2 linked regions of the Schizosaccharomyces pombe genome follow. The protein of the gene in region 1 interacts with the protein of each later gene in a pairwise test. Each region holds a gene or a part of one and is shown on either strand. Other genes may lie near its edges. The genes, in order: cul3 and btb3.

What was found.
Region 2: the proteins of cul3 (region 1) and btb3 interact in binary tests that used the Schizosaccharomyces pombe proteins (3 or more experiments, as listed by UniProt).

Annotation. Positions count from the first base shown.
Region 1 is NC_003424.3:487,058-490,986, forward strand, and holds the start of cul3 (cullin 3), read right to left. Parts: upstream 1,658-3,929; 5' UTR 1,559-1,657; coding exon 1,517-1,558; intron 1,461-1,516; coding exon 76-1,460; intron 37-75; coding exon 1-36. Other genes in the region: TIM23 translocase complex subunit Tim15, read left to right, coding at 1,722-1,972, 2,017-2,293; gup1 (MBOAT family O-acyltransferase), read left to right, coding at 2,959-3,205, 3,281-3,714, 3,755-3,874, 3,922-3,929. UniProt on the Schizosaccharomyces pombe protein: Probable core component of multiple cullin-RING-based BC3B (BTB-CUL3-BTB) E3 ubiquitin-protein ligase complexes which mediate the ubiquitination and subsequent proteasomal degradation of target proteins.
Region 2 is NC_003424.3:2,251,427-2,255,355, forward strand, and holds btb3 (ubiquitin ligase Btb3), read right to left. Parts: upstream 1,927-3,929; 5' UTR 1,764-1,926; coding exon 1,555-1,763; intron 1,487-1,554; coding exon 1,395-1,486; intron 1,345-1,394; coding exon 74-1,344; 3' UTR 16-73; downstream 1-15. Other genes in the region: alp11 (tubulin-specific chaperone cofactor B), read left to right, coding at 2,042-2,746; ribonuclease H2 complex subunit Rnh201, read left to right, coding at 3,162-3,929. UniProt on the Schizosaccharomyces pombe protein: Probable substrate-specific adapter of an E3 ubiquitin-protein ligase complex which mediates the ubiquitination and subsequent proteasomal degradation of target proteins.

The sequences.
Region 1 (3,929 bases):
TCTGCATCGGAAGATATTGATCGATTATTCAACAACCTAAAAGTGTTAAAGACAGTAAAAACAATTAAAGCATACCTTTTTGCAAGGTGTGTTTTGTAATATTTTTCAAAAACATCTTTTTCTGAAATAAACCGAAATAACGTAACAGAATTTTGAAGTGTTGCTTCAATAGAGCCTTCTATTGCTTTTCTAGCATCTTTTTTCAGATTGTCATCAATGAATAGTGAAATGTACTCGGGGGCTCGGGTATATCCGTCTACGAACGTAACAAAAGCATCTGATAAAGAGTTCAAGATAGACCGATCAGCATCCATAGTAGTACTTATAATTGTATTTAGTCTATCCCATAAGGCCAAAACTTTTTGAACCCATAATGTTGCCATTGTAGCATTAGATGATAGACGACCAACAGCCATCTTTCCTTCAAGCGCTTGGCTAGTAGTTTCATTGATTAATTTTCCATGATGCGCTACATATTTCGCCAAGTATTTTTTTAAAGACTTCACGCCAAGTTCCACTCTAGAAAAGCTTTCGTAAACCAATTGAAGACCCTCGAAGTTTGAAGAGTCGATCATCGAGAAAAAGCCAGTTGATTGATTTTCAAGCAAATCGTCCAAATGTTTACTCAAAAGCTCATCTTCAACAACGGATAGAAGGGGGCTAGCTATTTTTGTGAACAGGTAATTCTTGGACCTCTCCTTTTCTTCCTCAAATCTTTTCTCTGCTTTTTTCAGATACTCCACAACTCCAAATACGCCGATGACTGTTGATGATTCTATTTCATAGAAATTTCTTGTGTAAGATAAAAACTTTGGAGCAAATAAAACATCATAAAGAGTTTCCTTTTTGTTTTCTGAAGGCAAAGAGTTTAGCATATCTAAGCAGTCATTTATTAAGGGTCGATTTATTGTATTCCCTTTACGTTCAAGATAAACCAGAATTAGAATAGTTTCGACACATTTCTCTCCAATTTCAAAACTATTTAACAAAACAACTTCACGAAAGATATATATTCCGTTTTCATTAACAGGAACTTTGTCTGCAGATTTTGAATAAACCTTGTCCAAATATTTTAATACACTAGATATCATTTGCATTGAAACAATGTGATCCTTCCAGGAATTAACTAAAGACGATAAAAATCTATGAGCCGCTTCCAATGATCTCGACCATGAAGTAGAATAGGAATCATTTTTTCTAATATCCAATAGAGCATTCCCTAATAAGGAAGCGTCATAGTTTTTGTAAATAGCTGGAACAGTTTCTTCTTTAAGCCTCGATCTAATAACATCCTGTACATGATTATAAAGCTTTTCTCCATACTTATGTAGAACAAGTATATATGCATTTCTATACAACTCTTCAAACGATAATTGAGATGTGCTTTTCTGAAATATATCCCCAATAGCTCGCTGCAAGACTTCCCAATGTGTAGCAAAGTCTACTTGGTTAGCAGAAAACTAAATGTCAGTATGTGAGGAAAATAATAAGGACAGCATGCATCAGGTACACTTACTTTTCGTGGCGCTCGAATTTTTAACTTCGCTGACCGCTGCATTAATAATGGAATTTAAAGTTAAGTTTCAACAAAAAAGCTAAATATATGGGCATATGAGTTTGCATAAAGAAACGCCAGCACAGACGGAAGTAATGGTACAAAAGGTGGTAGAAGGTACTAACTACGAACAACATTCTCCGAACACAAAAATTTTTCAAACATAATGTGGAGCTTTGCACGGTATACTCAAAAATTCTGTTTACGAAATTTGCAGTTAAAAAATTTTTCAAACAAGGTAAAGGTTTCAAGTTTACTTTTCTGTTCCCCGAATGTGAGAAACATTTCTAATTGGCAATGCAAACGCTTCACTCAAAGCGATGCTAAAGATCTTGCAAGTGGTGTTCCCTCTGTAAAATCAGATGCTGATCAATTACAACCTAAACCGACTTATAATGTTTCTTTTACTTGTACCGTGTAAGTATTTATAATTTCATTGAAGGATACTAACCAAATGAAAGATGTAACACTAGGTCAAATCACAATTTCTCCAAGCAGGCCTACCATAATGGGACCGTTTTAGTTCAATGTCCTAAGTGCAAAAATCGGCACTTGATGGCTGATCATTTAAAAATATTCTCTGAAGAACGGGTGACGATTGAAGACATTTTAGCTAAGAAAGGGGAAACTTTTAAAAAAGGCTATGGTCAAGTAATCAATGGCAATGTTGTAGAATTTAAGCCCCCTCAATTTAAAATTCGACCAGCAAAATCATCTTCTTCCAATTCTTCCAAATGAACTAGGAGAGCGATCAAATTGGGTTTAGGAGCATATAAATTGCAAGATATAGTCATTGTTTATTTTAATTTCTATAGTATATATTATTTTTATTTATTTTTGTAATACTTTGGTCAATATATACGACGTTCTAATAGAACATTTAATTATTATATGAGCTTGTTAACTTGAAATTATCTTTTGAATTTTTAGACTAGATGTGATAATTTAGCAATCATTGAGCAAATCATATCCAAAAAAAAATAAATTAATTAATTAATTATAAAAATTAACGATTTTAGAGATCTAAATGGGCTATACAGAATTATTGCAAACGAATGTAAAACATTTTTCAATATATAAGTTGCTAATTTACCAAAATCAAAATTTAGTCTTTAAAGATGCTTAATTAATATTTCTATTTTAATAGCGCGTTTTGTATAGTGCTGACTATTTTATTCATTCCAATAAACAATACAAACTGAATTTATTATTTTTAAAAATATAATTGATTTCATCATACTCTCTCTACCTTACTCTTAAAATTATTTACGGACTATGAAGCTGACACAAAGTGTAAATTACGCAGTGTCTTGCATTTTGCTAGTGAACACCACTAGGTTTGTTTACTCTATGATATTTTGAGAACCGACCATCTTCTTTGCTGTTGGTAGGAGACTTCTAGGATGTTACGTTTATTTCGATTTGATGTTCTTGAGACTTCGACCAAAGATACTGAAAGACCCAATTCTAAAAGTTCACGGTTAAGTTCGACTTCTGGTTCAAGTCATCCATCTTCATCTTCACGTTTGACCGTTCGAAGCGCAGTTCCGGAAAAGAGCGCTTTTGGTTCCATAGAATTTATTTTTTACTTTTCTGTCATTCTATCGATTCTAACAATTGCTTGTTTTAAAATTCATTATGTTAGTTCTCGTAAGTGTCAAAAGCTTTAATCAGCCTTTTCTATTTATCAATTTGAAATAAAGTAAGCAACTAACTAGGCGTCAGCAAAACATCCCAATTACAAAAACATTGAAAAATATTTAAAGCCTGGGTGGTTGTTTGGACAAAAAGTCGATTCCGCTGATTTTCAGTATTCCGCGTTTCGTGAAAATATGCCAATCTTACTACTTGTAATTATTGTCTATAATTTTCTCTGGAGACTCGTTAAGCTTGTCTTCACAAAAAATACTAATGATGAACTCGCTATAAAAAACAACTATCGACTTTGCTTCTCCCTGCTGTTTGCATTACTTGTCTACGGGACTGGCGTTATATATGTTTTAACAATTGCATTGATCAATTATCTCATTTCTAAGTCTCTAAAGAACAGTATTTTTAATCCACTCTTGACATGGACATTAGATATATCAGTGGTGTTTTTTAAAGAATATTTTGCCTATTGCAAATTTTCTAGCCTTCATCCAGGCCTAGGGTTTTTGGTACGCTATCTTTAGCCATCAGATGTTAATCTTTTTACAGGATCAATATACTGGGATTCTTGAGCGCTGGTATGTTCTTTTTAACATTACCATGCTTCGGCTCGTGTCATTTAATATGGATTATTACTGGTCCTTAAAGCACAACTCTGAAAAACTTAACGTAAGTTTGAGCACATGCCTTTTGAGTTTATAAATAATAACCATTAGACTCTAAT
Region 2 (3,929 bases), 1.8 Mb from region 1:
AATTTGAATTTTAATAATGATTAATTTAAACAGTTGAAGTGTTCAAGAAATATTATTTTTTCTACCATTGCCATTAAGCTTGTAGCTCCAGTTTATCTAGTAAATCGTCAATCATCTCCATTTTTTGATTATATTCGCTTTCATAAGGTGTTAATGTATCTACAACTCCATCAATGCACAAATCCTCATGGTAAATGCCAAAACGTTTTGAGAGGAAATAACGAATATCATCAATGAGTTCGATCGTGTCTGTTTCTTGTCTCTGTAAAATTCGATCAGCACTTTCTTTGACTAATTCACAGAATTCAGGATCGTCAATCAAGTGCTCCAAATGATTTGCCATATATTCGGAAGCGTATTGCTCCAGGCGAGGCGTAGACGTATCCCAAGCTGTTCGTAGAATATCGTAAATACTATCTATAGGCTCTTCTTGTTTAGTAATAACTATAGAAGCTAAAGATTTCAAGCTTCTATCTTTATCTAACGACAACATGTCTGCAACGTAAACTACATCTAAAGCTAATTCCGGCGCTATATCAGTTTTGTCGGTATATAAAAACTTCAATACAATTTCAACAACAGAACTTGAAAAAGGTAAAGACAAAACCGGTAGTTCTTGATTGCTTTCCAAAAATGGTCCTGCTAACATGTCCAAAAAATATTCACATCTGCACATGATGGCACGATGGACGGGATAGCGGTGTGTATAAGATTGCAAGTAAGCATCGTGAAACGAATACTGATCGGAAGGTTGGTTAAGAGATTCAATGGGTACTTTGTAGTTAGAGATTATATAATCCAAAAATTCTCCTAGATCATTTTGAGTTTTTGCCAACTGGATTTTCTTCCAATCTCTAGAGTGTAACTGCTCGCGATCTTTTTCATACAATGCGATAAAATCGTTTAACTGGAATTTTTTTCCAATACTCAGAAGAGCATTGTTATACTGTTTGGTGAAAACAGCATTTGTGTCTAAGTAGAGATATCGCAAAATTGATTCAAACTCTTTAGCAAAATGTTTGACTTCAATTTCATGTTCACTGGGTCCCAATTTCGAAAATTTTGATTTAAAATATGAACTTCTGGCAGCTAAATAGAATTTATGAGCAAAAACCCTACCATATTGACCGGCAAAGACTATGTCAGTAGTAAAATGTAAAGCCGAGTTCGACAACAAGGAAGTTATGTGACTAGCATAAGGTTGGGACTCATCAATGGCTTTAGTAATATCATAAGAAAGAAGCATACGGCGAATATTATCATTAAGGGCACCATACAAACATCTTTCTCCTTGAAAAGTATCTCGTTCGCATAAAGCACCATTTTCAAGAAGAAATTTTACAACTTAAGCGTGAGAAAATATAATAATTGAGAGCAAAACATTCATAGCATACCTGGTTCATGCCCGCAAAGACTCGCAAGGACTAAAGGCGAGTAGTCAAATTGGTCTACTTGATTAATAGGTGTGTTATAGTTTTCGACCAAACTGGATTTTGAATTTAGCAATTGCAGTTAAAATTGTTTATCGATTCAATATTTTTAAATTGCACATACCTCTTGACAACTTCCAAATCTCCACGCCGACAAGCTTCACAAAGCTCAAGAAATTCTTGGGTATCATTTACTGTGAAAAGTGAGGAAGACAGCTTCTTCTCATCCATTGCCTTTGACCAAAGGTCATACTTGGAGAAAAGCTTTTTAGAATTTTCACCACCTTGCAATTCGACATGTGTTGTCCCTGTATTTTGATCTTGAGAAGCCATTTTAATAAATGAAGAACAATTAACAACCGATTAAAAGGTTATACTGAGCAAAGATTGCACTTATGTTCAACAGTATTATCGACTTAAAATTTAATTGATCATATGCGAAATGTAGTTGGTTAACGAGGGTTCTATGTAATTGTTCAAGTTCGATGTGATTTGTGAACGACTGACCAAGGCGGCGTCAGCATTTAACTACTACGTCTTCCACCACTTTATATATTCTTGTGTTTTCCGTTTTCATTAATCATATATCTTAAGTTAAAATTATTTGCTACATGAATGAGATAACTCTCTTTATTAAATCTTCCTCTGCAAATGCTGAACGAAGGATTAACCCACAATGGACTGTTAGTCAGCTTAAGACCAAATTAGTTCCTATCGTAGGGACACCAGAACAATACCAAAAACTTACGTATGAACCTGCTTCCAGTACAGTCCCTGGACACGTTTTCACTAGCGAAGAAGAGAATTTAGACCTAGGGGAATTCAAGCTTCAGCCTCTGGGGACTATAGTCGTTGAGGATACACGCCCTCCTCATTTGCGTCTAGACTTTGACGATCTTTCACAGGTTGATAAATATGTAATGCCTCGTGAACAGTATGAGAACAGGACAGATTCTGTCTATGCCTGGAAAAAAAGAAATCAGCTTGGACGATTCAATCCAGACTTTGAAGCAAGTAAAGCTTCTCGACAAGAATCTTTAAAACGTGAATTAGTCGACTTACAAAAAAATTTAAATTCTAGGTGCTGTGCAGCAGGAGAGAGATATGGAACTATTCGCTATATTGGACTAGTGCCTGAAATTAATAATGACAATCTGTGGGTTGGCGTCGAATTTGATGAACCAGTTGGGAAAAATGATGGGACAGTCAGCGGAAAGAGATACTTTAATGCGAAAAATAAACATGGATCCTTTCTTCGATCTTCTGAAGTTGAAGTAGGAGACTTCCCTCCAGAAGATATTTTAGAAGGTCTTTGATGTTGTTATTCGTTTTACAAGGTTCCATGTTAATGATTTCCTTTTTTTTTGTTAAATCTTGTATGCAGGCTTCGATTGCTAGGAGATGACTCGCTTAAGATAATGAACAATTTTCTAAAAAAATGAAAGTCTAAAAAGTAAATCATTTAGTTTAGTCATTTCTCAATTAAAATATTTTTACTCAATCAAAGAAAGCATTATAACTGTAATGAATTGTTTGTCTGGCTTTTCTTTTTTTTTTATTTACATCGTTTTACCGTAGTACCGCTAATTAAAACCACGAACGAAAGAAAACTGTGTTAGGCCTATTTGCGCATTCCTTCAACCCCTTTATTTATTTTTTTATTCAGTTTTTGAGCCAAATATTAGAAGTACTCTGATAATTCTTTAAAAGATACAAAGCAGCAATCTCAACATGAAAGATGATCACGATGCATGGGAACCAGAAGAACTAGTCAGTGACAATAACTCTTCAGAAAATGAGCTACAAGAAGACCAAAATTCTTCAATAACTTTTTTACCACCTTCAGTTAATAAATCGAATCCCGCAAAATCGAATTACTATCATTCAACAGTCACTGATGATATTTCCAAGAGTCAGCCATATCGATTAGGAGTAGATGAAGCTGGTAGAGGCCCTGTCTTAGGACCTATGGTATATGCTGTCGCTTACTGTCCAGTCGATTTCGATTTGACCAACTATGGGTTTGCTGACAGTAAAACTTTGGCCTCCTTAAAGCGAGAGGAACTTCTGAAATTAATTTGCAACAAATCTAACGAGCTAGGAAAAAACGTTGGATGGTCTACTATGTCTATTTCCGCAAGAGAATTAGCTGCAGGAATGCTGAGGTACCGGAACAAGTATAATTTAAATCTTCAAGCACATGATACGACAATTGACTTAATAAAAAAAGTTTATGAATCAGGAATAAATGTTACAGAGATTTACGTGGATACAGTAGGACCTCCAATATCATACCAGGAAAAATTACAAGCTCATTTTCCTCAAGCGAAAGTCACTGTCACTAAAAAAGCAGATTCCCTTTTTCCCATCGTGAGTTTAGCTTCTATCTGTGCTAAAGTTACTAGAGATATTCAACTGGAATGCGCTCGTGAAAGTATTCGAACTGAGAACTGGGGTTCTGGATATTCTTCTGACGCTCGAACTACCGAGTGGTTAAAA